Alligator mississippiensis: one gene and its partners. The protein of the gene in region 3 binds, or shares a complex with, the protein of the main gene of each other region. Links are inferred from orthologs where the notes say so. Each region holds a gene or a part of one and is shown on either strand. Other genes may lie near its edges. The genes, in order: TMEM216, B9 domain-containing protein 1, TMEM237 and B9D2.

Region 1 (6,954 bases), on a different chromosome or scaffold from region 3:
GGGTCTTCCTCCCCTACCCATCTCATTTCCCCCTACAGCAGAGGAACAGTTACCTGGAGAAGGAGGCCAGGGTGAGGATGCCCAGGAGCAGCTCCACAGCATAGAAGAGCAGCAGGATGGCATTAAGGATGGCCTCCAGGCGCAGGGCATAGGTCTGCAGCAGCAGGTAGTAGGCTGCCATCACAGCCGCTGGGAAGGTCAGGGCCAGGCTGATGGAGAGTGGCACCTTCCGCTGGCACAGGTTCCCCTTGGAGCCTGTCATGAAATGTGGCTGTGAGCATCTCATGCACAGCCCGTGTCGTTCCCTACAAAGAGGTGGTGCTCAGGATCTGCCTGCCCACGGAGCCCGGGAATCGGGTAAAAGGTTCTTTGCCTCTAGGGCACTGGCCACAGGCCAGGAATGTGGTACGGGGAGATTCCTCCCTATGGTATTGGTTCTTGTTGGATGCCCAGTTGGGTTCTTGTTGGGCGCCCAATTGGCTGAAGTGAGGAGCCCCTTTGCTTTAGGACAGTGACCCTGTGGTGGGGACCAAAAGCCACTTGTTTGACAACTGCTTGTCACCAGCCCAAGCCCACCCCAGGCTCTTACCATGAGGTGGCACCTGGCCCTGTTCTTCCTAAATACTCACCAAAAAATATCCGTGTGACTTCGATGCCAAGGTAGAGGAAGAGCATGACCAGGTCCAGGGCCAGGTTGGCAGATGGGTAAGGTAACAGCAGCCCTGTGGCACAAAGGCCATCCCTTTCAGGAGGAGAGCAAGGCCACACCCCCACCCTTTTTCTCTGGGGTGCCACTGTCCCTTACCCACTGAATAAACTGATAAGCCCTAGGGATGTGCCAGTGGTCAGAGAGGTTACAAAGCCCAGGGAAGACAGGCTGTCTAACAGCTCCTGCCTGAGCCAAACTGCAAAGTTTCTGGCTTTCTCCCACCCCTCCCTGCTCAGGTGCAGTCTTGCAGGGGGCTGGGGCCACTGATGTAGATGGATGGGCTGGAGCGGTGCTAGGGAAGCCTCTAAGTATGCAGGGGTCAGCTCATTCTGTCGCTCTTCCATCAGCCTGTGGGCAGCATCTGATGTCCAATGCAATCAGTGGTGGGCTACAGCACATACAAGCGCCTGGGAAGGTCTCTTACCCTTATAGACAAATATGAAGATCTCCAGGAGGAAGTAGGTCGCGTAATACCAACCATTGAGGAACAGCAGGATTTCCAATGGGGTGGAGGAGAGCTGGCGACCTGGGGGGTGGGTGGAGAAAGCAAGCAGAGCATGAACAGGTAAGGCACCTTAGCAAGGAGGAGGAAAGGGTCATATATATTTTCCCAAGATGCTGCTCCCTCCTTCTTGGCTGAGGAGCTGCATGGCTCTCTGGGGGCATCAAATGCATGGGGCTGAACAAGAGGAAAGGTGGTGAAGGCCCTGGTGTGCAAGGAATCTAGGATGCTCCTCCATCCCCAGCTCCATGGGAACTGGGCAGGTTGCTGAGGGCTGGTGTTAAAAGGCTCCTCAGCATCCTAAAATGCAAGTAGGGACCTAACGAGGTCTTCAAAGGGCCTGGTGCTAACACCCCGGCAGTGGGTGAGGAACAAACCAATGTGACGGGCTCCCTACTCTAGCCCTGTTCATCTGCTGGTCCCAAAGCACTTTGTGAAGGAAGGCAGCTGCCCCCATATTACAGGTAGGGAAACTGAGGCCCATAGAAGTGAAGCAACTTGCCTTCAGATCTATGGCAGAGCTGGGACCAGACTCCCATTCCCGGCCAGAAAGAAGGTGCTGGCCAAGGGGAACTGGGGTGCCTTCCTTGCCCACGCATGCCTCTGAGAAGAACGTCCCTAAGCAGCATCCACAGACTCCCTGGATCCACTCAAGGGGCAGCGGGCAATAACTGGCGTTTCCTGCTCAGTGATCTCTCTCGGCGCCCTCCTTACCAACCTCTGACCTGTGCTCCCGTTCCTGTGCTTTCATCCCTTATCCAAAACACTTAGTCATCCTTCATGTAGTGGCTGCTCTCCACCCACTGAGGGGGCCTGTAGTTCCTGATGAGCCTGGGACCACCATCGCTGTGTAATGATAGGCCTAGCTCTCAACCTCAGCATCCTGGCCGCGAACAAACACACAAGCTCCTGGGGCTGGAAGTTGAAGCCTGCCACCATTAGCCTGGAAATAAGGTGCATGTCTCGAGCAGTGAAGGCAAGTAACCGTTGGAACAGCTTTCCCCCAGCTTCTACCTCCCCAGCTGCTGCTAAACCAAGGCCAAGGGGTTTCTTTGAGACCCGTTCTGGTTCAAAACACTGTTGTGGGGGGGAGGTCCTCTAGCCTCCGCCATTCAAGACATCAGACTGTAACCAAATGATTCCCTCCACACCCCCATCTGCAAAGAAATTGCGTTAGACACATCTGATCCCAAGTTACTCCCTGTTTCCTCTTGCTAAGCTAGGGATAACATAACCCACCGCTCTCGCTGCCCGTTTGGCCTGTCAGCGCTTTGCAGCGAGGGGCTGCTCTGTGCTGAGGCTGGGAGCTGCCCCCCTAACAGACGTTGGCGCCACAAAGGAGGTTCAGCAGCTGGTCCGCCCTCCTCCTTACAACTGCCTGGTGCTGTCGCAGGGTCCTCGCCCGGCCGGGCTCCGGAGCTAGGACCGGACACAAGCCCCTCCCAGGGGCAGCCCGCGCCCCGTTTGCAGCCGCCGCGCCCAGCTCCGACATCACGCCCCGGGTCTTGCTCTGCCTTTCTCCGCTCAAGGGCAGGGCCCCCCCCATCACTGCCCAGCGCCGGGGGCTGCTCCCGGGGGCTTTGGCCACTGGACCTGCGGGGGGGGCCAGTAGGGCGGGCCCAGAAGGGTCACGTGACCCCCGCGGAGGCTGGGGGAGCTCGGCCTGGTCCCGCGCCCCCCGCACTTACTTCTGGGCGCCATCTTCCATCTCCATGGAAACCATGGCACGCAGCGCCGGCGCTTCCGGGAGCGCGGGGGCTGGCGAGCAGCCCGCCGCTCCGCCTCTGGAGGACCCGCTCGGAGTCACGTGACACCCCCCCCCCCCGGGGCGGCCACTGAGACTTCTTTCCCCGGCCGCGGCCAGGCTGGGGGGCCGCAGCCAGAGCAGGGGATTCAGCCTCTGGCCTCCTGCGACAGTAGCCACTGAGAGTATGGCAGGCCAGCACCCTGGAGACTCGCCTGCATGCACACACACAGCACCAGGTTTTGGAAAATGGAGCCTTTTTAATTTTCTGCTCGTTTATAAAACGGGGTACAAAAGGACAGGCTAATGAGGGCAGAGAGGCCCCAGGGCCGTACAGCCAGCCTCGGCCTGCCCAGGACACCAAGTGGAACGGGCGTGGGAGCTGCTGCTAGCAGGTGCCCGGAGCTGAAGGGCGAGTGACAGGCAGGGGGATGAGAAAGGGCAGCTGCGGTGCCAGCAGGGCACAATCACACACATCTGGCCCTTCGCGTCAGTGCATGAGGAGGCAGCAGCTAGGGCCAGAGCAGGGCTGGGAGTGGTCCACACTCTCCGGCGGGGAGAAGGAGCGGAGGGGTGCGAGTGAGGGGCAGATGCAGCATTGAGGTGCTGGCCTCGAGGGTGACTGTCCGCCTCTCTTGGAGGGTGCTGAGCAGCGAGGTGCAGAACTAGTGGGCAGACCATCCCCAAGTCCAGTGCCTGAGAGGATCATCAGGTGCGGATCTGAGCAAACTCTTTGCGCAGCCACATGGAGTCCTGGTAGAAGCGGGGGTCACCCAGGTGCACAGCAGTCCTCTTGTAGAAGTAGTAATACAGCACAGCCGCTGGTGGGAGCGAGAGTGGGTGAGAGCAAGCCCAGCAGGCCAGAGCTACCCCACCCCCACTGCCTAAAGGGGCACACCAGTGTGCTGGGAGGCCTCATGCCCCCAGACAGAACTGGGAGCCTGGCCAAACACTGTGTCTTAACCCCCAATCCCAGGCTGGGGGCACCATAGCCCACCCCACTGACAGCACAGTAGCTGTGCTGTGTGTGCAGGGAGGGCTGTTAATGGCTCCCTGCATGTCTGTCCATCCCTCTGCCCTGCATCAGTCTGCCTCCAGCCCTTACCCAGCCTCTGGAACACGAAGAGTGCCTGCAGCCCATCTGTCCACACGAAGCCATTGGAGTCCTTCCAGCGCAGGTTCTGAAAGAGACACACATACACCAGGAGCAGAGGCCTTGGGTGGGGGGGACATAAGCCCAGTGCCAGACCACAGCACTGCCTACTGGGTCTCTTCTAAAGGGCCACAGCTCCCCCTCCAGGCTTTGTTCAGCCTTCAACTTATGTCACACTAACTGCAGCTCCTCAGTGAAAGGCAGCTGTGTCAGCTTCCCAGAGCCAGTTGGTGCCCCCTAGTGGGCAAGCAGGGTGAAAAATCCCTCCACTGCCCTGATCCCTTTCCCTGCAAGAATAACTGTCTGTCTCTAAGCCCATTCTGATTGTAGACACAGAGCAGAACAGCCAGGGAGCAGCTCTCGAAGCATGCAGAGGTTAATCAGAGATCAGCCTGGAAGCATCTCTCTGGGAATCCTCTTAAATCACCCTGTCCAGGCAGAGCCACAGGCAGCACCCACAATGCAGAAGCCCTCACCTGATCTAGGCAAAAGGCACCTCAGAGCAGTGGGGCTATGGTCTAGGAACAGGGATGCAGGCAGAGGGAAGGGATGAAACAGGATACCTGGGTTCTACCCTCAGTTCTTCTGTTTGCTTACTCTGTGGTTTTGGGTGCATCACACACTCCCCCTGCTGTGCCTTGGGATAGCTTTCCAGCACCTCTTGCCAGGGCAGTAATCCCATGCAACACATCACACCTGCCATCAAGCCACTCTGACAGTGGATTAGCTTTACTTGGAGAATTGGTTACTACAGGGAACCAGAGCCAGCAGCAGCCCAGCATCCAGGGCAGGCTACTCCCTTCTAGTCTGAGGACTCCCAGCCACAACCATTTCACAACTCTTGTCTTTTTAAACATGACTCCCTCACCGTATCCCACTTAGAAAGCACCCACAAGTGATCACTGAAATCAGCAGCTTGGCCCCTGTCAGGAGGGTGCTGTCTAGCACTGGCTTTGGTTCTCCATGGAGCAAGATCATCATGAACAGAAAGTCATGGAGTAGTAATAGTCCCAGCTGTCAGGTTTGCATGACCTGATGCCAAGCTGACAGCCAGGTCTATAACCCTCCAGGCAGGAGGGAAACCCTCTGTTTCTCCACTGGGAGAGCTGCTTCCCTGCCAGCCTTGCTCTGGCACCAATGCCTCTGCTTGCTCTGGCACCGATGCCTTTGCTTGCTCTGGCACTGGCCTCCAAGTGCTGCTGGGAGGAGGTGGGCTAATCCTCACATTTTGAACCAACAAACCCTCTCAGCTCTGTACAATGCCTGAACTGTTGAGTGACTGCCCCCAGCCCCAGCCTCCTTTCTCACTATGACACCAAGAAAGGCCTGGACTTAGACAGCAAAGCCTGCCTGCAGTCACAGCACAGGACCCAGCCTGGGAAGCACCCCCAGCAATCAGTTTGCAGTCCCAACCAGGATTATGCCCTCCAAAGCAGTAGCTGGCCAGACATTCAGTAATGGAGGAATGTCCCACCCTGAACCTGGCAGACAGTATGAGTTTCTGCTTGGCCCTGCATTCAGCCTCCTGGGATGTGGCAGCGCAATGCTGGGAGTAGAGAAGCAAACTTAGCCCCATCCAAGAAAGATTCTGTGCACCTGAGGAGAGCAAGATCCTCCCTGTCACAAGGGAGACAAGAGTGGAGCTCCCCCCAACCCTGCTGCTGCCCTCTGGGAGGACAGGAGGGAAAGGGACTTGCACTCTCTTCCCTAATGCTCCAGAGCTCCTCCCTTGTTTGGAGCAAGGTGTGACAAACATGTTCAGGGAGGTCCTGGGGGCACAGGGGCTCTGATACTGCGTGGCTACATGCAAGTTCATTCTTTTCGTAGCCCCACTGTGTCTCCAGGTGAGTCGGGGACATGGGGTCCTTCCAAGGTGCAAGAGTCCTGACCTCTCAGACTGAAAGGGCAGGGTAGGATCCAAGCACAGCTTCAGCCTGGCAAGACTTCACAGGAGAGGTTCTCTCTAGCGGGTGGCCAAAACGGGCTGGGTACACCACAGGGAGATCCTGGGGCCTACGTCTGAAACTGTAGATATCAGGCACTGTCAGAGGGGGCTACCAGAGGAGGCAGATTCATCCCGCAGGGTGTCAGGTACTGCTGGATGAGCTCAACTGCTCTGGAGGAGGATGAAGTCCCTGACTAGACAGATAAGGGATTCTTATGCCCCTTGGCGAGACGCCCTGATCCCAGAAGCTGGCACGGTCCTGCCCTACCATGACCCAGATGTGGAAGGAGATGCTCAGAGCCAGGTACACTGCCGACAGGATGATGGTCCCTTTGAACTTATGGAACAGCAGGTTGACCAGGCCGGCCTGGAAGACGAAAGTGTTGAAGAACATGAGGAAGATGATGATGACGTTGAAGAGGACGGCAATATCCTGGATGCTGTGGGGGAGAGAGAGGGCGGTGAACTCCCAGGCACCTGTGGGGACCCTGCCATCCCCGGTTGCCGGCACTCACATGAAGAGCACGAGCTGGATGACGGGCGCAGCGCGCAGCAGCTCCGAGAAGGAGTTGACGAAGAGGTCGTAGAAGAGCAGCAGGAACTGCAGGGAGAGCACCATGCTGTAGCTGCTGGTCTGCAGCATCATCTTTCCCCGCGGGCCGTGTTCTCAGTGGCTGCATTCCGGGCTGCGGAGCCACCTCATTCCCGGGGCCCGGGGCCTCCTGCGCCGCCTCGCCCTACGGACGCGCCCCGGAGCCTGGGGGGTGGGGGAGGGGGAGATGTGGGTGTTATTCCTGGCAAGGCCTGGGCCGGGGGGAGGAGGGGGACCCTTGCCTACCCCGTGCCCGTGACACTGTCTCCGCACAGGCACCCCCTCCCAACGGGCCCTCACTCGCCTGAC
Region 2 (7,661 bases), on a different chromosome or scaffold from region 3:
CTGTTTAGGAAAAGGAAAAAAGCAGGATCCAGGGAACTACAGACCAGTCAGCCTCATCTCAGTCCCTGGAAAAATCAAGGAGCAGGTCCTCAAGGAATCCATTTCTAAGCACTTGGAGGAGAAGAAGGTGATCAGGAACAGTCAGCATGGATTCACCAGGGGTAAGTCATGTCTGACCAACCTGATTGCCTTGTTTGACAAGGTGACTGACTCTGTGGATGTGGGGAGACCGGTGGATGTGGTGTACCTTGATTTTAGCAAGGCTTTTGATACGGTTTCCCACAACATTCCCGCAGGCAAGCTAAGGAAGTCATGGGCTGGATGAATGGACTGCAAGGTGGATAGAAAACTCGCTGGAGCATCAGGCTTAATGGCTCGATGTCTAGTTGGCAGCCGGTATCAAGTGCAGTGCCCCAGGGGTTGTTCCCAGGGCTGGTTTTGTTCAATGTCTTCATTGACCTGGAAGGTGACATAGAGCACACCTTTGGCAAGTTTGTGGATGACACCAAACTGGGGGGAGTAGTAGATATGCTGGAGGGTAGGACTAGGATTCAGAGAGACCTCGACAAATCGGAGGACTAGAGCAAAAGAAATCTCATGAAGTTGAACAAGGACAAGTGCAAAGTCCTGCATTTAGGACTGAACAATCCCATGCACTGGTGCAGGCTGGGGGTGACTGGCTGGGCAGCTGCTCTGCAGAAAAGGACCTGGGGGTGACAGCGGACAATAAGCTGGATATGAGCCAGCAATGTGCCCTTGGTGCCAAGAAGGCTACCGGCATCCTGGGCTGCGTTGGTAGGAGCATTGCCAGCAGGATGGAGGGCAGTGATTCTTCCCCTCTAGTCAGCACTGGGGAGGCCACATCTGGAGTCCGGTGTCCAGTTTTGGGGCCCCCACTACAGAAGGGATGTGGACAAGTTGGAGTCTAGCGAAGGGCAACAAAAATGGTTCAGGAGCTTGGGGACAGGACTGGTGAGAAGAGGCTGAAGGAAATGGGCTGATTGAGTCTGCAGAAGAGAAGACTGAGGGGGATTGAACAGCAGCCTTCACCTCCCTGCAGGGGGGCTGCAAAGAGGATGGAGCTGGGCTGGTCTCAGTGGGGGCAGATGACAGGACAAGGAGCAACAGGCTCTAGTTGCAGCAAGGGGAGTTCAGGTTAGATATTTGGAAGATTTTTCTCCCTAGGAGGGTAGTAAAGCACTGAACAGGTGACCCAGAGAGGTGGTGGAGTCTCCATCCTTGGGGATTTTCAAAACCTGGCTAGACATTGCTTTGGCTGGGATGCTGTAGTTGGGGCTGGTCCTACTTTGAGCAGGGGGTTGCACTAGCTGTGCCGTCCTGAGCTCCCTCCCAACCCTAACTTTCTATGATTCTACGATCATCTCAGGGAAATGCATGATTTCAAGTTTGTGAACAGCTGACCAATTTATCCTGGGACAAAGCCTTTTATCCTGGCATTCTCCCTTGCTTGCTCCAAGGGCCTTATGGCTAAGGGCAAGCAAAACTCGGGGGCATCCGAACCCCCAGCCTCCGGGCTTGGGTCTGCCATTGGGATGCCCACCAAAGGATTTGGAAACATCTGAAGCCCCAGGTGCAGGTGGAGGATGTTTGCCAGTAGTAGGACCACTTATGGTTCTGCACTCTTGGATTTGGAATTAGTTTTGGCTAATTTGGCCTTGGATACAAATTTTAAATATATCTGTAGGATGCCAGGATTTATTTTATATATATATATAATTTTTTTTATATATATATATATATATATATATATATATATATATATATATATAAAATAAATCCTGGCATCCTACAGATTTACAAGCTCCTCGTCCCATATTAAGCACCTGTCAAGTCTTTGAGGGTAATAAACAGATGACAGGTTTAATCCACGGCTGATAGATTTGACTCGCATTAAAACTGATTCGCCTGAGATTTGACTCACGTTAAAAGATGTAGCTCAGCTGTCTGAACACCAGGGTTAAATGGCAATGAACTTGAATTAGCTGCGAGCGTCCCAAGGCCAAGCATTAATTTGGACGCTTCCTGCGTACTTGATGTGGACGAACGGCCAGTCCCGCTGGGGTTGCCTGAGAAATGCTGAAATCTGAATCTAATCGGTTGTCTAATCAGTAGCCCAGAGGAGCCCTTTCCCCCCGGATGATCGGGGCTAGTTCGAGCTCATTGCCATTACTCTTTGGGTCATGTTACAGACAAGGCTCATTGGGTAAATCCGGTATCTTTTATTAGACCAAATGGAAGACATGGAACAATTTTTCTTTGCAAACTTTCGGGTGCAAACCCCCTTCTTTGGGTCACCGTGCAGCCGGGGTGAGTGCAGGGGTGGGATATGTCTGGGGACAAAGTCCTGGATCGGACTTGCCGTCCAGATGCTTCCCACAGACGTCAAGGGGGCTCATCCCTTTGCATGATCCTGGGAGAAAAGAATTTATCCCGGGGCAAATCCCACCTGGTGGGTAAAACACGCCACCAATAATGGGGTGATGCCCCTCCCACCCTTGCCCCCTGCCCAGGGCGCCCCCTCCACCCTGCTGCCCAACTTGGTGCATGCTCTCTGCATTCCAGCCCAGCAGGGGGCGCAATAGCGCATGCGCTCTGCGCAAGCTCCTCCCCCCCACTCGTGCCCCGCAGAGGATGCAATGACGCATGCGTTCTCCAGGGAACCGGACCCGTGAGCACTAACCCAGCAGAGGGCGCAACAGCGCATGTGCTCTGCAGAGGCTCGGCGTCCTGCCCGGCACAGGGTGCAATGGCGCATGCGCTCTGCGGGGAGTCGGGGACATCAGCCTACAGGGGGCGCCCCGAGGAAGGGGGCGGTCACCCCAGACTCCAACGTGGGGGGGGGGGGGGGTGTAATGGCGCATGAGTGCAGCCGCACTTACCTGGGCGCTCTCGATCTGCCCCGTCACCATGAGTAGGAAGACGCTGGGGCTGGCGGCAGCGGCCATAGCGGCGGGCGGCCCGCCCCGGCTCGTTGCTAAGGGCCGCTGTCGCGCCGCTCCTTAGATACCGGACGGCGAGGCGCAGGGGACACACTTCCTCGCGGGCGGCGCTGCGCCAAAGGGGCGGGGCCAGCGCCGGGGCTGGAGCGCTCTGCCCTGCTGCGGGCTGTCCGGAGCGCTTCGCAATCAAACCCCGCCTGGCTTCGCTTCGCTTCGCTTCGCTTCGCTTTGCTTTGCTTTTCTATAGAAAAAGTGAAACCTGAGCTGGTCCCTTTTTTTGTATCTTTGTTTTTTGTTTTTACTAGAAAAAGTGAAACCTGAGCTGGTCCCTTTTGGGGTATTTTTTGGGTTTTTTAAAGTGAAACCTGAGGCTGGTCCCTTTTGTGGTTTTTTTTGTTTTGTTTTGTTTTTTAGGAGTTTTTTTTTTTAAACTAGAAAAAGTGAATGTGAAGCTGGTCCCTTTTGTGTGTTTGTTTTGTTGTTGTTGCTTTTTACTAGACAGTGTGAAACCTGGGCTGGTCCCTTTCCGGTTTTTGTTTTTTGGGGTTTTTTTTTTTGTTTTTTACTAGAAAAAGTAAAACCCAAGGCTGGTCCCTTTTGGGATTTTTGTTTTGTTTGGTTTTTTTTTGTTTTGGTTTTTTACTAGAAACAGTGAAACCCGAGGCAGGTTTTCCTAGAGTCAAAAAACCGCCCAAAACAAAACAAGAAGCAACCCCAAATGAAACCCAGGGCTGGCATTGTCGGAGTGTGACAAGCTTGGGGAGCAGGCGTACGGCTTTCCTCTGCCCCCAGATCCTAGGGAAAGCCTCTTCCACCTTCCTCAAGACGAGGTTGTCATTGCCAACCCTCCAGGACTGCCCTGGCATCTCCAGGAATTAGATATAAACCCCTAGGAGATGACTGAGAGTCGCTGGGAGGATAAATGAGAGGGCATTCATTCGGATAAATATGCAATGTTGAATCTGATTTGTACAGTAGTCCGGTGGGGTTTGTAAAATGTCAGCGTCCCGTGCACCGGCCTTCCGGACGTGAAGTCTGCGCACCGTAATGAATGTTGTCCCGTCACGGGATGAAACCTCCTGGAATAGATTCAAAGGAAGTTGGCACCCCTGCAGTCAAAACCCCTATTCTTCTTCACCAGGGAAGACCGCCTGCCGTTTCAAAACGCCTTGCCTCCCATCTGCTTTTCACAGAGCTCCTTCGGAAGCTGGAAATGGGGTGAAAATACCCCGCTGGTCGCCGGCTAGGATGGCAGAAGCTCTTCTGTCCAATTTAGATGATGGATTCATATAGGATGGGTCAGATAGGGATGATCCTGCCTCAGGATCCCTTGGTGACGTCTGGAGATCCCTTCCAGCCCGGCTTCTCTGTGAAGCAAGTTATTAAAAAATAGATACACTATTAAGAGAACGTAGAGGTGGCTGCGTGTTGTGTTTTTGAAGCCCACGCTGGAAACAAACTGGTTTTTCAAGGGGATCTGATGAGCTGGCTTTTGGGCTCTTTTGAGTCCCTGGAAACCTCCCTGTATCTCTGTTTCTGGACTCTGTCTCAGCCTTTTGCTAGGGGTTTATTTTGAAGTATTTCCTTGTTCTGGAAAACCAGATGAGTCCCTCGAGATGGTGGGCAGCCAGTGGAGAAGGCGAACCAGCACAGCTAACTCTAGGAGCCAGCACTAATCTACCTGGATGCATTCAGTAGGTGCGTCTACACATGCACAGTTACCGCACAATAATTTAGGTTACGGTGCAGTAACCGAAAATTACTGTGCAGTACGGGCACGTGTCTACACGTGCACGCCCGTACTGTGCAGTTACTATGGCGACTTAGGCTGACTTGGGTGTAAATTTGCTACTTGCATGATTGAGGTAGGAAATTTATGCCCAATTAGTTATTGCGCAGTAAGGCACGTGTAGTTGCCTTACTGTGCAGTAACACTGTGTGGACTGACTTGGGACTAACTTTAGTTAGTCTACACGTGCAGGTGTTACAGCATAGTAACGTTGTGCGTGGACTGACTTGGGACTAGCTTTAGTTAGTCTACACGTGCAGGCGTGTACGTGTGCAGGCGTTACAGCATAGTAACATTGTGTGTGGACTGACTCTGGACTAACTTTAGTCCCAAGTCAGTCCACACAGCCTTCCTACGCTGTAACGCCTGCACGTGTAGATGCTGGCCTAAAAACCGCTTACTGCGCAGTAACTTGCTGCACAGTACATGCACGTATAGACACGCCCAGTGTCTCTGTTCAGTTCGCTTGGCCTGTTCAAAAAGTCAGACTCGGGTTGAAAGGAAGTTTAAAGGTTGTCTCCACACAGTGGCATCCAAGAATGAAGCTTTAGGCGCGTCACACAGGCCTGGAACAAAGTGGGCATCGTGGGAGAAGTAGATTTGCTGGGAGAGGAGGAGAAAGGGCAAGTGCGTAGGTTGGGGCCAGGCAGAGAGAAGGCACTGTCTTGAAAGGAGTGGGCAGCCTCATCCCCCCACACCTTCAAAATCGACCCGTTCCTGCTTTCGGCACGCAGTGGCATGGTGCACCATAACTTCTGCCAGCTGTCCTGGGTTAAAGTTTAAAAACTGGAGGCCTAACTTGATCTCATGCCTTACTTACCCTGAGTGTCTAGACCACTGTCTACTGAATCTGCTTATATTTCACCTAAGCCACCATATACATACAAACCTGATCGTATATTCAAGTGCCGCAGGCCCCATCCAACGCATCTGGACACTGGGCTTGCCCTTAGACTTATTTATTCGACACATGGTGTAAACCTCTGATAAGAATCAGGTCAAGCAAATCCCATTTTGCTCTCCGATATCCAGTGGGCGGCTACAATCAGATCCGCAAGGCAGCGGCCTGACCGCATGAGAAACAAAACGTTCCTTGTACAAAACCCAGCCAGTTCTAGCAGGCGTCCAAGAGATGATTGCAAAATCTTTTGTTTCTGCCAGAGAAAAATAGCCTCGATGTTCACTTGGTTCCAAAACAAATATTTTGATTTGAAAATGTAACGTTCAGAGAATAAGCCTGTTTCTTTTGGACTTGCGGCACCTGAAAGAAAATCTAAACTTTGCTGCCGCATAAATAGGTAACGCTGCTGACTGCCACTAGATGCCACCAGCGGATTACCAGTTGTGGGGCTGCTCCTATCATTAAAAGGAAATATGGCTTACATTGCTGTTGAAAGAAAAGTTTAAAGGCACCACAATATTTTACAAGACAAAGAGGGCAGAGTAACTCTTAACCCTGCACGCTCACCATAACTGAACAGCGTTAGCTCAGGTTTTTGGAGATATTTAGGTGCTTAGCTCTCGCTGAACTCAGTGGGATTTAGGGGCGTAGAAACTTTGGAGAATCTCACTGTCCATATTTGAGCGCTTTAGGGAGCCATATAGTTAGGAGGGGGATTTGCACATTGGTCCAAGGAGACGATTTACAGTGCATTTCATGGGGGAGGACAGCTTAAGAAATGGATGAACACAACCACAGCTCCTTTAGCAGAACCTCTCATCCTGCAGAAGGGTGAAGTGCTGAGATGGGCTCGTTGCTGGGATCTGCTGAGACTATTGCTGAATGACGAGGGGAAGAGATATTGCTCCCCACCGGTGAGAAGTACCATCTTGGCTGAGAAGCTGGAGGCACTGACTGCTGAGGTTCCCAGTCTACTTGGAAAAGTTTTCCCAGCGATGATGGACGATACTGTGGGGGGAAAAATAAGTCACGTACATCTACATTTGCATCATGGTGCTGGCAAGAGCCCCAGTGTAGGGACATTTATACTTGCAGGATCGGGCCTTTGCCCATAGTCTAGTCAGGGAACTGGTATATTATACACCAGTAAAAGAACTGGTGTGCCTAAGTAGCTTCTCCCTGGGGTGTCTGGTTGGTACAGCTACTCCAGTTATCTTTTCCCAGCGTGAACAAGACCTCAGGCCTTTCCAGTCTGAACTCCAGTGCCAAGTCGGACCCCATAACAGCCCCGCATCCTTCACGGCTCGAGGACACAACATGCACCGGCCAGCACGTTTCAGCCATGCAGCCAGGCAAACATGAGATACGTGAGACGGCTCGTGTCCGCACGCAGGCAGGCTTTGCAAGCCACCTTAGCCAGATGAAACTTGGGGCAACCTGTCACCTCCAAGCTCTCGATTCCCAAACGGTTGCTAACCAGGGGTGCAAATTAGGGCAGCCTCCTACAAGGTCTCCTCTTATCAGACATCACAGTGCTGAGCACAGTGTGCGACGAGTGCAGGTGTCTACCACGCTCCCGCACCTTGCGGTCCTGAAAGCAAGTCAAGTACTCTTTGAGTTGCAGCACGTCCTAGCTGGAAGCATAATGACCCCGAGCGCTAAGTGCCCTTATGCCACGGGCAGCACTTCCTAAACCAAACTGGATCCATTCCCTAACCTCAGCGCCCACCAAAACCTTGCTGCAAAGAGAACGGGCTGTTGCCACCAAGAACCTGCCCCAGTCCCATGCTCCGTGCTGCGAAGGGGGCTCTCCTCACCCAACCCGTGCCTCCCACAAATTGGCAGATATCACCATTGAGTGAAACGATGGGGAACGGCCAAGGGAGGAAGGAACCGAGGTGCACCAGGCAACGAAGGGGAGATTTCAGGTGAGCGATGGAGCGATGCAGGCTGTTTCAGAAGGCAGGAAAGCAAGGCTTTTGGCCAACACTGCTGCAATGGCAGTTACTTC
Region 3 (7,538 bases):
GTTATGACCTCCCAGCCAGGCTAGGCCTGCCATAGTACATTAAAAAGAAAGAAAATATTATAATGATGCTCTAAAGAATAATAAAACTCATTTAGATCATAAAGTCCAAGTTTAGATACCTCATCTCAAAACAGACAACAGAGAATTATACAATCCAGAAAAGGGCAACCAGAATTGACAATGGTAAGGTATAGCCTGTGCAATGCATAGCTGATTTTTTTTCTTTTCCAAATTAAATCATTCTCCATCTGAAAAGGAGGATTTTCCCCAGTGTTTCATGTTGGGCAATCAAAAGCAATTAATACTTTTGAAGAATCTGGTCCACAAACACATAAAGCACTTAGGCAGCTTGGAGACATTTAAAAAAGCTCACTAAAGCACCTGATCTGTACAGATGTTGAGTGAGCCGGGTCCAACTAACACGCTGCCTCTTCTGGGCATATGCAGAGCTTGGCACAGGAGTGCACCAAGTTTAAATTATAGTACTGGGGGGGGGTGTTTGCAAGCAGCTTTAATAATTTATAATAGTTAGCAACCTGCTGTTAGGCAAAACTTTAGAAGTTCACACATTTAACATTAAAAACAGAACCAAGAAAAATAAACAGAAACCTAAAAGGACTCTGTATGGACAGAGTTTTGTCAACAATGAACCAACTCACCATGGTTTCCACTTCAGTTCCAAGGTTTTTTTCCCATTATATTGGAAAGAAACATGAAAAAAACAATATTAAAGGACAAGAACATTAGTGTTAAATCAGTTGCAATTCAGAACTGTACTAAAACTCAAAATGCAACCGACTTAAAGCATAAAAATGTATATGGTCTATTCACATCCCTTAACCTTACTTTTTACAACCATTTAAATATGACAACATTAAGGCTGCTTAACAAGACCGAAGACTGAACATTTTGTCTGCCTCATGTGACTAGGTACAGTTTCTTGATTGGTTAGCTGTAGATACAATTAAAAGCTTTTGTTAGACTATTTAATTAGAACTTGTCTGACTGTCTGCTATGCATGAACCAAGGAAAGAAGCTATAAATTAGTCAGGCAAGCAGCTATTTCATGATCAGTATTCACAGTTTCCTCTGTGATGTTTACGAGTACAATGTTACAGCTGTGTGAAGCTTTGGTCCCTGATTTGATTTGGCAGAGATTTGGCTTGATTCAGTGGCCAAATCTCCAAATCGAATCAGAGGACCCTTTAATCTCTCCAACTCAAATTGGAGCCCTCCAAATCGATTCAGAAAGATTCGGAGATTTGGACATATACACAGCTTTAAATGTTTTTTCTACATATCTCTAGGTAGCAGGCAGCTCGCGTACTTAGCAGCAGTCCTGGTAGTGGATCAGAAGCACTTCCGGTCCACTTCCAGGTCCGCTGGGGAGCACGCAGGAGGCGCCTCCCCCCCTCCCCTGCACCCCATAAGCTCAGCAACTAGTGCCTCCTGGGTCTGGGGGGGCACCCAAGGTCCCCCCATGGCTGATTGCCGATCGCCAAGCTGGGAAAGGTGTGGGGGGGCCCCCCAGAGCACTCCCCAGCAGACCTGTAAATGAACCAGAAGTACTTCCGGTCCATTTCCGGGTTCGCTGCCTAGCACGTGGAGCGCCCCCGCCCCACACTCCTGTAGGACGCTCCATGCACCCCAGCATCGCAGCGATCACAAGTCACGCCTGGTACCTCGACGTATGTAGAAAAAACTTTTAAAGTTATGTCTATGTCCGAATCACTGATTCCCTGAATCAGCATCGAAACTTCAGATTCAGATTTGGCTGAATCAAATCAAGGACAGTGATCTGAATCAACTAATCGAATCACTGTCCCTGATTTGGGCCAAATCTGAACCTGAATCAAATGGGGCCCACTTTGCACACCCCTAATGTATATGCGCCTCCAAGTACTTTTAAGAATTTTGACATAACGGACCATAAAAATGCCCAATTCCCATTCCTACCATCAAAACCTATCTTGATGTATGGAACATAGAAATTTAAGGATAAAATCTTTTCAACTCCTGTGTCAATATGGCATATTCAGAAAATTCTTATTCCCATATTCAAGATATGTTGGACACCAGTCTGATAAAAAAGTTTCTACTCAAAGCTCTCAAAATCTAAAATATAGACAAGAGGAGACATTTGGAAGAGGAAGATAAGGGGCTGAAAATAAGTTAGTGAGACTGAAGTAGCCTTTTTGTCTATGACTTTTTTTCTTTTTACCTGTTTTTCCCCCAACAAATAACACAAAATGATGAGGTAATATAACAAATTAAACTGCTTCCCAGTCTCTTTAAAAAATGAAAAGTCTTACAAGAGTAGCAGGGACCCATACCCCTAAACTTCTAGATAGTCAAAGTTAAGGCCTTGTTATACGTTAATTTTAGGCAGCTCCTGGAGCTTTTAACCCCTGAACACATTAACACCTGGAATTAGTTTTAAGCACTCTTTAGATCAGTGGTTCTCAACCTTTTTTGGACCAGGACTCATTTGTAAACATGGATGGCCAGGCCCGCCCTGGTGCCCCATGCTCCCAACCCGCTGCTCCATGCCCCCAGGCCCCAACCCACAGCATGAGGAGCAGGGGGTGAGCATGTGGGGGGCACCAAGTAGCCCCTTGCAGACTGGAACTCTGCCAGCCTGCAAGGGAAAAGTCATGGTTTCCCATGTTTTTCTCCTTTAAAGAAGAATCCATTTTTAAAGTTTGTTCATGACCCTTTTATATATTCTTGCTACCTGCTTTTAGGTTGCGACCCACGAGTTGAGAAACACTGCTTTAGATGGCTTTGTTATGCCACTCCAGGCTATATTTCTCTGATCTGTGTCACCTAACTTGTGTTATACATGCATACAGCAACTCTAGGCTACACATTAGTGTTACACCCCATCCAATCTCCAGTTCCCCTGCTGGCCTGAATCAGGCATGCTGCCCCTGCTATGTGCTCACCAGCACCTCAGATCCCCACTGACTGCTCCCCCCACTTACTTGTGGCTGCCCACACCATCTGTCCTGGGCAAGCAGGCAAGGAAAGGTTAATCTGCCTGCCAGTCCTTGCTCCCTGGGCTAGGCTCAGCCCTGAGAAGAGCAGCAAAGGGGAGGAGAGGGGGGCAGGCAGGTAGGTAGGTGGGTTAACCCTTCCCTGTCTGCTCCCCTGGGATAGACAGCAGCCACAAGTAAGAGGAGGGGTTGGGAGGTGGGAACCCCAAATTGGGAGGGGAGGATTCTTACTTCTCAGTCCTCCAGGCCCCTGTTCGCCTGAATGTGCGACTGCCCCAAATTCAAGCTAGCAGTAACACCAATCAACATTTGAGCAGCTCACAGTGTAACATACAACAAGGCCCTTACACTGTCCTACCACTTGCCCATTTTTAAAGGTACTTTTTAAAAAAGTAGTTACAATTATTTGCTGCTAAGGTAAAATCTTGTATAACAATGTAGTCTATAGCAAATTTCTTTGGTGAAGTGTGAAAATATAATATAATTAGATTTATAAAAGGAAAAAGCCTTAATTTTAGTTTTAAAAAATGATAGATCTACTCTTAAATTACGTTAAAATTTTATTCAGTAAAAAATTAAAACAAAGAGAGAGCAATATTTGTCACCTTAGTGAGATTTTGCTAAATCATTTAACAGCATTATGAGTGCCTTATGTGTTTACTGCACTCATCTTTCTTAATTTCATAATTTTCAAGTACATTCCAGTGTTCCCAAACTACCAAAATACATAGAATAAAATAAACCTACCTTGGCACAGGAGGAAGGGCACGGGGTGGACGCTGAAACAGAAAAGACAAAAACCTTCCATTAGTGTGTCATGAAATCTTTTACCTTTTGAGCCCCTACTAAATTATTTCAGAGAAAACAGCTAATTCCAAGTATGACCTTGGAATGATATTATGTTAGATGTCTCTAACATAGGCTACATCGATAGTCTTCCGAAAGGCAATTCTGAACACTGTATGTATAAACAATTCACAAATATGTTTTGAGATCACTGGATGGAAGTTAAGATGTAGAATTGTAAAGCAGTGTCTGGTACATATTTTGCGTCAATGCCTCAGTTCTGATACGTGCTATATTTTAGATAAACTATAACCATCTAAGTGGTAACAGTACTCTTTAAATACCTTCACCTTTTTATAAGAAAACTACATGCATAGGAAAGACAATTTATCATTCTAGTCAGGTACTGAACACAATAGAAGAACACTGCTGAAAGTAGGCATTTAATATCAATATATTTTTATATTATATCAAGAACAATTATAGGAATCACCAATGAAATCTTACATTTAGAAGTACAAACAAGGGCAGTGAGATAGTCCTGACTGTTGTTAAAATGCCGACTAGACTGTTTAATATTATAAAATGTTCAATAAAACAGAATATTTTCACAGTGGTGAAGATCATGACCATAAGGGAAAACAGAATTAACACTCAAAGAAAAATATTTCTTGTTGACAGAATAGCAGGTGTATAGCCCACACACTTGATAATTCTCTTACCTAGAAGAGTAAAACAGCTTAGATTCAGATTATTTATTGTCTTAGTGTACTAGACAAAAGGGAAAACTACTCCACGCTCCAGATAAAAACTTAAATTTAAATAAAAGCCCCACAAAAATGAAACAAGGCAAAGTTCCTCCAAACTGAACTTACCACTTGCTTCTTTCCCATGTCATTTAAAGCTGGTCCCTGAGAGAGACACTAAACTATTCCCTCTGACACTGCTTACATTGATCGTCAGCTAATTCAGCACTAAAAATAAGCTTCCCAGACAAGATTAACTGTATGTGAACCTCGCTGTCCCCAATTTAGGACCCGATACTACTCACACTGAAGTCAATAAGAGTTCTGCCATCAGCTTCCACTAGGAGCAGCAATGGGGCTGTTATTACTGCGTACAACTAAAAATGCAAGACCTTGACACCCTGATTCTTTACCAGTGATTCAAAGCAGGGGCTGTGGCAATCTCAAGATCCTTTCAAGGAGGCTGTGGGGTGCCACACAATGTTAGGCATTGTTAGGTTTTCAAACTTGACTCACAACATAAACCCAGAGATTTCAAACAGAAATCCATAGCTATGATCTTTTTGATTTCTTTGCAACAGAACCTTCCCCCCCCACACACACATACACACACTAGTTTTCTGTAGGCAAAGAGTAAAAACTAAGAGCTGACATTCTCCAAGGCATGCCTCTAGTCTCTCCAGGGGGTCCTTGAGTCTAAAAATATTGAGAACCACTCCTTTATTTACATGAGTAAACTTTAGCTATGCTAATTTAACTGAAGCAAGTGAGACTAGTGTGAAGATGGATTTGACCTCATGTCCCTATCCTAGATTTTATCTATGTTAGAAGGTAGACTGAAAGCAAATACAATTTATATGGCAGTGGATACAAACACCCTCCCATCAAGATCCATGAAGCCAGCTGCTACTTACTCTTCTTGTTGGACAATTCCAACAGGAAGCTTAGCAAAAATGTTGGCAGAGTATAACCCCACAATCAGTCATAGCTTTTTATGCACATATAATCATTATTAGGTTTTTAAAAACTAAAATCTGAAAAATTTCAAAACAACTTCATTTGCCAACTCTGCACAATATATACTGTTATCTACTAGACTGCAGCATATGCATTTGTCAGATATTCCTCAGGAGATCAAACAACAAAACAAAATCTCATTCGCAAACAGAAACGGTTCTAATGTATTCAGGTTATAAAATATTCCATACTGTTATATATGGGAGACTTCAATCACCCTGACATCTGCTGGGAGGACAATACAGCAATGCACAGGCAATCCAGGAAGTTTTTTAAATGGTGCAAATGCTGGAGTGGCCAACTAAGGGCTGTGCTCCTTTTGATCTGCTGCTCACAAACAGGAAAGAATTGGTGGGGAAATGTAGTAATGGACGGCAACTAGGGCAGCAGCAACCACGAGATGACTGAGTTCAGGATCTTGAGGAAAGGAAGGATGGATAGCAGCAGACTAAGGACCCTGCACTTCAGAAAAGCAAACTTTGAGTTGCTCAGGGAACTCATGAGCACGATCCCCTGGGAAGCCAGTTGAAGGGGGAGAGGAGTACAGGAGAGCTGGTTGTACTTTAAAGAAATCTTAATGATAGTGCAGGAACAAACCATCCCGATGTGCAGGAAACCTAGCAAGTATGACAGAAGACCAGCTTGGCTTAGCTGGGAACTCTTCAGTAAACTAAATCACAAAAAGGAAACTTGTAAGTGGAAACTCAGACAAACAACTAGGGAAGAGTATAAAAGTATTGCTTGAGCATGCAGGGATGAAGTCAGGAAGGCCAAAGCACAACTGGAGATGCAGCTAGCAAGGGACACGAAGGGTAACAAGAAGGGTTTCTACAAGTATGTCATTAGCAAGTGGAGGATCAGGGAAAGTGTGGGTCGCTTACTGAATGGGGGAGACAACCTTGTGACAGAAGATGCAGAAAAGGCTGAAGTGCTCAATGTCTTTTTCACCTCAGTCTTCCCAGGCAAGGTCAATTCCCAGATTACTGCACCTGGCAGCATAGTCTGAGGAGGAGGTGAGCATCCCTTAGTGGTGAAAGAACAAGTTATGAACTACTTAGTAAAGCTGGATGTGTACAAGTACATGGGACCAGATGGAATGCACCTGAGGGTGCCAAGGGAGTTAGTGATTACAGAGCCACTGGCCATCATCTTTGAAAACTCATGGGGATCGGGAGAGATCCCAGATGGTTAGAAAAGGGAAAATATAGTGCCCATCTTTAAGAGGAAAAGAAGGATCCAGGGAACTACAGACCAGTCGGCTTCACCCCAGTCCCTGGAAAAATCATGGAGCAGATCCTCAAGGAATTAATTTCTAAGCACTTGGAGAAGAAGGTGATTAGGAAAAGTCAGCATGGATTCACCAAGGGCAAGTCATGCCTAACCAATCTGACTGCTTTCTATGATGAGATGGCTGGCTCTGTGGATGCAGGGAGACAAGTGGATGTGGTATACCTTGATTTTAGCAAGGCTTTTGATATGGTCTCCCACAATATTCTCACAGGCAAGCGAAAGAAGTACGGGCTGGATGAAAGGAAGTACAGGTTGGATAGAAAACTGGCCATATCATGAGGGACAGAGGGTAGCAGTCAATGGCTCAATGTTACCAGCCAGTATCAAGCAGAGTGCCCCAGGGGTCGATCCTGAGGCCAGTTTTGTTTAATATCTTCATCAATGACCTGGAAGATGGCATAGAGTTCACCCACAGCAAGTTTGCAGAAGACATCAAGCTGGGGGTAATAGTAAATATGTTGGAGGGTTAGATTAGGATTCAGAGACACCTAGACAAATTGAAGGATTGGACCAAAATAAATCTCATGAGGTTCAATAAGGACAAATGCAAAGTCCTGTGCTACAGATGGAACACACCCATGCACCAGTACAGGCTAGGGACAGATTGGCAAGGCAGCAGCTCTGCAGAGATGGACCTGGGAGTTACAGTGGACAATACGCTGAATATGAGCCAACAACAGTGTACCCTTGTTGCCAAGAAGAA
Region 4 (7,176 bases), on a different chromosome or scaffold from region 3:
GCAGCCGCAGCTCCCAGGGAAACCCAGGGCTCCTGCCCTCCCCCCCCCCGCTCTAACCACTAGGCCCGGGGCCCAGCAGGCAGCCCCCTGCTCTAACCACTACACCCCACTGCAAGCGGGGGGCGGGGCAAAGACAGGTCTCCAACCCCTCGCCCCGCCCCCCTCTCCCAGAGGACCCAGGTGTCTGCCCCCTGCTCCTTGCCCGCAGACCCCTCCCCTTCCCAGGCATCCGGGAAGCCCCCCCCCGCCCCCCTTCCCGGCATCTGACCCCTCGTTAGGCTGAGCCGAGCCATGGGACTGGGCGGGGGGGAGGGGGGGTCTCTGCCCAGCCATGGCAGGGGTGAATGGGGGGCACAGGGGGGATGGGAGCCGGCAGCAGGGCGCCCCCTGGTGGGGCAGCGCGGAGGTCATGGCAGCTAGTGGAGGGGGCTTCTTTTGCCCCTGGGGGGCAGGAGGTGCCCCAGGGGAACCTCTGGGCAGAGACAAACTCCCCCCGAGACCTCGTGGTACAAAAGAGCCTTTATAGAAAAAGGAGGGGGGGTCTGTACAAATGGGGGGGTCTCAGAGCCGGGAGGGAATCCTAGTGCAGGGGGGTCTGGCCCCACATCAGCGCCAAGACCAGCAGCGCGGTGGGGGGGCCTCTGTCCGCCCCCAGCCACAGCCCCTCGGCCTTCCCAACCTCCAGGGTGGGTCTGGGGGGGCAGGAGGGGCCCGCGGGGGGTCCATGGGGAGCCTCAGGGGGTCAGAGGGTGTGGCCCCAGGGGAATGGGGGCAGGGAATGACTGTGGGGGGCTCTGTGGGGGGGCCAGGGGATAGTGGGCGGGCAGGGGGAACCTGTGGGCAGTAGCGGGGGGCCGTGGGGGTCTCTGGGAAGCGCCAGGGAGTAAGAGGGGTATGGGGGGGGGGAGGTGTAGCCACAGGGGAACGGGGATGCAGGTAGAGGCCATGGCAAGCATGGGGGGGCTGTGGGGGGCAGAGGGTAAGAGGGACAGGGAGATCCCGTGGGGGGGATCTGTAGGGGGGGTTTATAGGGGGCCCCAGGTGGTAGGAGGGGCATTGGGGGGTCAGGGGGACTCTGGGGGTCCTCAGGGAGCGCCCGTGGGGGGGGGTGGTGCTAGCACTCAACGCCGTAGCGGGCGAAGTGGCGCGGCAGGACGCCGAGGCGCAGGTGCACGGTGCCGGCGGCGGTGGTGCGCAGGCGGTGGCGCTCGGGCGCGGCGGCGGCAGCCTGGGGCTGGCGCAGCTGGGGGCCCCCCCCCACGAAGCGCTGTGCCAGGCGCTCGGGCCACGACCCCCGCGGGCGCCACGTGGGGCAGGCGATCGTGTGGCAGCCGGGCGCCGCTGGCACGTGCAGGCAGCCGTAGCCGTACAGCTCCGTGCGCCCAAACCCGTCCTGGTGCCACACCTGCAGGTGCAGCTGCGGCCAGCCTGAGGGGGCAGGGGCAAGAGGGGATTAGGCAGGCTCCTGCGCCCCCATCCCAAAATGCCCCCGGGGGGGGGCAGGTTCTCACCCTGCAGCCCCTTGGTGGCGAAGTGCACGTCAATGGGGTGGCACCAGTAGGCCACGTCGTCCAGCTGGGGCTGGTCCACCTGCGTCTGCCCCTCCGGCAGCCCTGACAGCAGCTTCCAGGCGCCGCCTGCCAGGGGGGCACGGCCGGATGGGACCCAGGCACCCGCCCCCCACCTGCCCCCACGCTCCCACCACCAGGCCCTGCTCCTCTGCTGGGCCTGGGGAGGGAACCCCTCACCCCCCCCCCCAACAACCACTAGGCCCTAAAGTCCAGGAGAGAACCCAGGTGTCTGAGCCCCCTGCTCTAACCACTACACCCCACTGCTAGCTGGGGGGGGGGAGAGCAAAGCCCAGGCCTGCAACCCCTCGGCCCCCTCCGCTCCCAGGTGTCTGGGCCCCCCCCTCCGCCTGCTCCTTGCCCGCGGACCCCTCCCATCCCGAGGAGCCCAGGCATCCGGGAAGCCCCCCTCTCCCCCTTCCCGGCATCTCACCCCTCATTAGGCTGAGCCGAGCCACGAGACTGGGGGGGGGGGGGGAGGGGGGGCGGGCACCGACCTGCGTGGATGCCCCACTTGCAGAAGAGGCTGGTGCCGGGGAAGCCGCTGGCGCCCACGATCTGACCGATGACGTGCAGCTCGGCCATGGCCTGCGGACCCCGCGCCCGGCTCAGCACCCCGGGGACGAGCTGCCGGTGCCCCCCCCCCCACGCCCAGCCACTGCCCCGCACCCTGACCCCTGCCCCCACCCACTGCCCTGCGGCCCCCTGCCCCGCCCCGCACACCGACCCCCTGCCCCCACCCCCCAGCCACTGCCCTGTACCTTGACCTGTGCCCCCCCCCCCGTGCCCCCCGGGGCCCTGCCAGCTTGCACATGTGGACACATCTGTCACACCTGTGTCTGCACCCCCGCACATACCCCCTACCTTGCACACTCACTCTGTGCACACTCAGTGTAACAACCCCCATGCATGTCGCCACGCGCACTCGCTCGCTCACCCACCCTGCGCGTGCCCCCTTGCACACTTACCCCATGCCAGCCCCTTTGCACGCTTCACTTGTGCCTAACCCCTCACCCACTCACCGTGCAAAGCCCCTTGCACGCTTTACGTGATGACTCCCCTCTTGCAGTTATGCAAAGTCCATTGCACACTCACCCGACACACATCCTTGCACACTCACCGTGCCAACTCCTTTACATACTCTGGCAACACACACACCCTTGCACACACACCCGGCCCAGCCCGTTGTACCCGCTGGCACGCTCCCCCTATGCGCACTCCTTTACACGCTTGTCCCGTGCACGTCCCTTACATATTCAACCTGTGCACACGCCCTTGCACACTAACCGCGCAAAGCCCCTTGCACACCCCTCTTGCACCCTCACCCTATGCACACACGTGCGCCTGCACCCGCAGGACTCCACTCGCCCCTGCACTCCGGACCACTTCCGGATGCCGCTGCCACGGCAACCGGGCAGGCCCCTGCGGAATGCCGGCTTCTGATTGGTCGGAGTACCGAGCGCGCTGACGTATCACTCGCAGCCCCGCCCAAGAGAGCGGGAGGAAGGGAAGAGAGCGCTGCCCGCCATCTTGAGGAGGTCGAACTGCCGCACGGAGAGCGCCGCCATCGTGGGAAGGGAGCACGATGGCCGGGCGCAGCGCCACCTTGGGTGTGGCAAAGCAGCATTGGCCGCAATAGGAGAGCGCCACCATCTTGGGTGGGTCACAGGCCCGGGGGAGGGGCTCCGCCGCCATATTGAGTGTGGCAGGGCCCAGGGGCAGCTACTCTAGGATGCCGCCGTGCATGACCACCCTCATGGGGGTGCCACAGCTCCACCGCAGCCACCCCAGAGTACCACCGTCACCTTTAGGGTACCACAGCGCCATGGAAACCCCCGTGAGGGAGCCACAGGTCTCAGCTGCCTTAAGAGGGGCATCATGGCTCCAGGGCGGCCAGCGTGGAACTGCCCCAGCCCCATGGCAGCCACCCGGGGGTGCCACAGCCCCAGGGTGGCTGTTTTGTGGGGTGCCACGGCCCCTCACTGTACACCTGGGGCAGGCCATGGCCCTGGGGACACGTTTTCCAGCAACAGCCTTGCTGGCAGCCCGAGGTGCCCTGCCAATGCCCTGAGGGCCACGGATGGGCCCTACTTCCCCCTCCCTTGCGCCCCAGCAGCACAGGCCCAGAGGTAGATAGGTCTGCACGTAGCACCCTCGCTCTGCGGCCTGGCAGCCCTATGGGCCTCCACCCCTGCCTTCGAGAGGGGTCCGGGCCAGATCTGGGGCTGTCGGTAAACGAAGAGCCCAGCCACAGCGCCAGGCTTGTTAGGCAGAGGCTTGATAGGATGCTGCCCACACCCCCAGAGCTCATTAAATGCAGCTAACGGGTCCCCCGCCCCAAGCGCCACAGCAGCCGTGGAGAGCACAGGTCCCACCACCCCCTGGCAGCCCCTGCCCCCCAGTCCAGCCAGTGCCCCTCACCCCCAACCCACCGCCCCCTGCCCGTGACCAGAACCAAGGGGAAGACTGGGGGTGGGGGTAGGGAAAGGTGGAGAGAACCACCCCCCCCCGGGGATGGGGAAGCCACCAGTATACGTGTGTACACACACACACACACACACACACAGGTAACCAACCACAAAAAACATGTGTCATTAAGGACAAGACAGATGCTTGGGTGCTGGGGGGCAACAGCACAGACCGTGTGCTCTTTATTTGGGGACCCCAATGCCAGAGCAGGCCCCCCCATCCCACCAGAACACTGGGTAGCCCCTGGGCGGAAGCACCCCTCACTCCCACCCCTCCGCCCCCACTGCTGCCCCTCACTCCCGACCCACAGCCCCCCCCCACCTTCAGTTCAGCTGCCCATTGCTGCCCTGAGGCATGTCCTTGCCCCCCCCCCCCCCGGGTCTGCGGGGGTCCGGCTCCCCGCAGGGGCCTCAGCTCTTGGAGAACTTCCTTCTGGCCGAGTCACGGTAGAACTGGAAGATGGTGTCGGTGGCGCGCTGAGCCAGAGCCAGGCACTGGTGTAACTGGGAGGAGGAATAGAGGTCAGGGCTGCACTAGGACCCCAGTACAGGCAGGCAGGCAGGCAGCCAGGCCCCTCCCCCCCAGGAGACAGGACCCCACCCAAGGCATGCTGGGATTGCCGAGCACCCCCAGCCTAACGGGGACGACGGGGGCGCTCACCTCCTTGGCAGAGCAGGCCCCGCGCGTGGTGGAGAGCAGCAACCTCTTCTCCGTGCTCTCGAAGGCGAAGGTCAGCACCGCCCGGGCCTCCTGCGGGGCAAGAGTGTGACCCCAGGCGTGCAGGCTCCCCTCTGCCCCCCAGCAGCCCCCCTTCCTCCTGCAGCCTCACACCAAGGAGCGATCCCGTCCTAGATTTTAGGCCCCCCCCTTACTCCACGCACGAGGCATCGCCCCCCTCCCAGAGAATCCAGGCGTCCGGCTCCCATCTGCTCCCCCATCCCTTACACCCCCCCCCACCTTCTCCTGGCGGGCGCTGGGGTCCAGAGCGACGGCGCCGTCGGGCGCGAGGGCGCAGGTGACCCCGCAGAAGAGCGAGCGCAGGGGCAGCCCCGCGTCCAGCAGCGCCAGGCAGGCGGCGTTCAGGCAGCACGACAGCAGCTGGGCCCGGGGTCAAGGCCAACGACCCGGTCCCCGGGGCCTAGCGGTTAGAGCAGCCTCACCCCCACCCCACCCCCCGTCCTTCCCAGGGGGCCCGGCGAGGTTGAACGATGACGAGGGGGGGTGCATCTCTGCCCCCCCCAGGGCAGGATACGGAGCCGGCGTCGCTGACGACCTGCAGCACGAGGGTGACGGAGGAGCGGGGGTGCAGCTCGCCCAGCAGCGCCGCCTCGCACGCGCGCCGCACCATCTGCTCCCGGCTCCGCTCCAACACGCCTGCGGGGGGTCAAGGGTCAGCAGGAAGCCCCGCCCCCCGTGACCCTCCAGGGAGGGCATCACCCCCCAGTGCAAAACCCAAGTGTCCAGGCCTCTGTAGGCGCCCCCACCCCGTCACGTGATGGGGAGAAGCCCGTGCCCTCCCCCCCACGGCACGGAGGTGGAGGGCGGGGAATGACCCCGGGGTCAGGGGTCACCTCACCGGGGAGCCCCACTTTGGGCCGCAGCAGCACGTCCAGCGCGGCGCGCTCGGGGCTCTCGCGGCTGCTCCGCACCTCGGCCGGGCCGTAGACGCCCGCCAGCACCGACGTGTCGCCTGCGGGGCACCGGGGTCAACGGGGGCGGGGAAAGCCCTTAGCCCCGCCCCCACGCTCGAAGCCCCGCCCCCGCACCCTGCACGAAGGCGGCGGAGCCGTCGGGCCGCGACAGTAGCCCCTGCTCCACGGCAAAGGGCCGCAGGGCGCAGCCCGGCTCCGGCTCCGAGCCCATGCCGCCCGCACGCGCAGCTTCCGCTTCCGGGGCAGCCTTCCCCTCCTTCCCAACGCGGCTCCTGCCCAATCGCAGCGTCTCTTACGCGCAGTCCCCGCCCCTCGAGGCGGGTGGGGGGCTGGAACGCACGGCAGCCAATGGATGCGCCTCTTGGGCGCCCCTACCCCGGATAGGCCGGAGAAGCACGCGCCCCTGCCAATCACGGCGCCCAATGGGTGCAGGCCCCGCCCCTCTCCCTGACAGAGGGGCCGGGCGCGGCCCAGCCAATCAGCGCGGCGGGGTGCGCGAAGCCACGCCCCCTCTCCCTGACAGGGTGTGGCGTTGTTCCTCGTTAGCCAATCAGCACACCGCGTAGGCATGGGGCGGGGCCACCGTGGGGGCGGGGCTTCCCTAAAAGGGCAGAGACACGCCGTTGCTATGGTGACACCCCCATTCCCCCTTCTCCCATCGGCCCCCGCGCCCGCACCAAGATGGCGGCGGCCTGTGGCATGCGGAGGGGCCTGCGCCTCCTGCAGCTGCGGGGACTGCGCACGGGGGTGAGCGCGGGGGCGGGGCCTGCGGGGCGGGGCCTCGGCGGGGGCGGGGCCTGGTGGGGCACATCCCCCCTAGGTGGGGGGCACGCGAGGGGGGTGTCACGTGTGTGGGGAGGCAATCCTCCCACAGTGGGGTGGGGCAGGGGTTCTCCTGGGGGGGCGGGATGAGCTTTGCCCCCCCAGCAGTTACCCCCACCCTGTTTTGGGGGGGGCAGAGCTGGCTTTAGCCCCCCTGGCAGCTCAGAGGGGTATCAGCCCCCCCATCCTGGGGCAGGTGGCAAGCACGCCCCCCAGCCTCGGCCACTGATTGGTCCGCACCGGGGGCGTGCCCCCCCTCCCCCAGCTGGCCCCTCCCCGCGGCCTTGACATTGCCGCACCCAAGGGCACCCTGGTCCAGGAGGTGCCGGGGGGGGGGGGGGGGGGGCACAGGGACCGCCCCAAACACCAGCCCCCCCGGGTGTAGATGGAGGGCAGAGCCCACCCCTTCCCCGCACAGCTCGGGGGGCCCGTGACATCATCTGGGGGGGGCACCGCGGGGCCTGATGGGTAACGGCGCCCCTTCCCAGCATGCCGCGAGGCAGCAGGAGGAGTTCCCGTCGCCGGCGGAGCGCCCCCAGTTCCCCGGCGCCTCGGCCGCCTTCGTGGACACGCTGGACTTCATCCAGCCCAACGTGCTGGCTGGCATCCCCGTCTACCGCGTCATGGACCGCCAGGGCCAGATCCTCAACCCCAGCCAGGACCCC

Evidence for each region.
Region 1: TMEM237 (region 3) and TMEM216 share a complex: the UniProt entries of both Homo sapiens proteins name them as parts of the tectonic-like complex. The link is inferred for Alligator mississippiensis from reciprocal best matches to the Homo sapiens genes TMEM237 and TMEM216.
Region 2: TMEM237 (region 3) and B9 domain-containing protein 1 share a complex: the UniProt entries of both Homo sapiens proteins name them as parts of the tectonic-like complex. The link is inferred for Alligator mississippiensis from reciprocal best matches to the Homo sapiens genes TMEM237 and B9D1.
Region 4: TMEM237 (region 3) and B9D2 share a complex: the UniProt entries of both Homo sapiens proteins name them as parts of the tectonic-like complex. The link is inferred for Alligator mississippiensis from reciprocal best matches to the Homo sapiens genes TMEM237 and B9D2.

Annotation. Positions count from the first base shown.
Region 1 is NC_081825.1:177,624,826-177,631,779, reverse strand, and holds the start of TMEM216 (transmembrane protein 216), read right to left. Parts: upstream 3,001-6,954; 5' UTR 2,913-3,000; coding exon 2,900-2,912; intron 2,578-2,899; exon of another isoform or gene 1,930-2,577; intron 1,236-1,929; coding exon 1,134-1,235; intron 723-1,133; coding exon 630-722; intron 256-629; coding exon 54-255; intron 1-53. Other genes in the region: TMEM138 (transmembrane protein 138), read right to left, coding at 3,664-3,776, 4,061-4,136, 6,322-6,493, 6,569-6,699. UniProt on the Homo sapiens protein: Part of the tectonic-like complex which is required for tissue-specific ciliogenesis and may regulate ciliary membrane composition.
Region 2 is NC_081836.1:55,341,157-55,348,817, forward strand, and holds the start of B9 domain-containing protein 1, read right to left. Parts: upstream 3,011-7,661; 5' UTR 2,967-3,010; coding exon 2,901-2,966; intron 1-2,900. UniProt on the Homo sapiens protein: Component of the tectonic-like complex, a complex localized at the transition zone of primary cilia and acting as a barrier that prevents diffusion of transmembrane proteins between the cilia and plasma membranes.
Region 3 is NC_081827.1:170,806,884-170,814,421, forward strand, and holds the start of TMEM237 (transmembrane protein 237), read right to left. Parts: upstream 3,004-7,538; coding exon 2,985-3,003; intron 1-2,984. UniProt on the Homo sapiens protein: Component of the transition zone in primary cilia. Required for ciliogenesis.
Region 4 is NC_081838.1:1,541,093-1,548,268, forward strand, and holds B9D2 (B9 domain-containing protein 2), read right to left. Parts: upstream 3,011-7,176; 5' UTR 2,591-3,010; intron 2,157-2,590; 5' UTR 2,154-2,156; coding exon 2,066-2,153; intron 1,638-2,065; coding exon 1,512-1,637; intron 1,429-1,511; coding exon 1,115-1,428; 3' UTR 505-1,114; downstream 1-504. Other genes in the region: EXOSC5 (exosome complex component RRP46), read right to left, coding at 4,448-4,540, 4,698-4,787, 4,995-5,135, 5,290-5,411, 5,614-5,727, 5,804-5,900; BCKDHA (2-oxoisovalerate dehydrogenase subunit alpha, mitochondrial), read left to right, coding at 6,371-6,436, 7,000-7,176. UniProt on the Homo sapiens protein: Component of the tectonic-like complex, a complex localized at the transition zone of primary cilia and acting as a barrier that prevents diffusion of transmembrane proteins between the cilia and plasma membranes.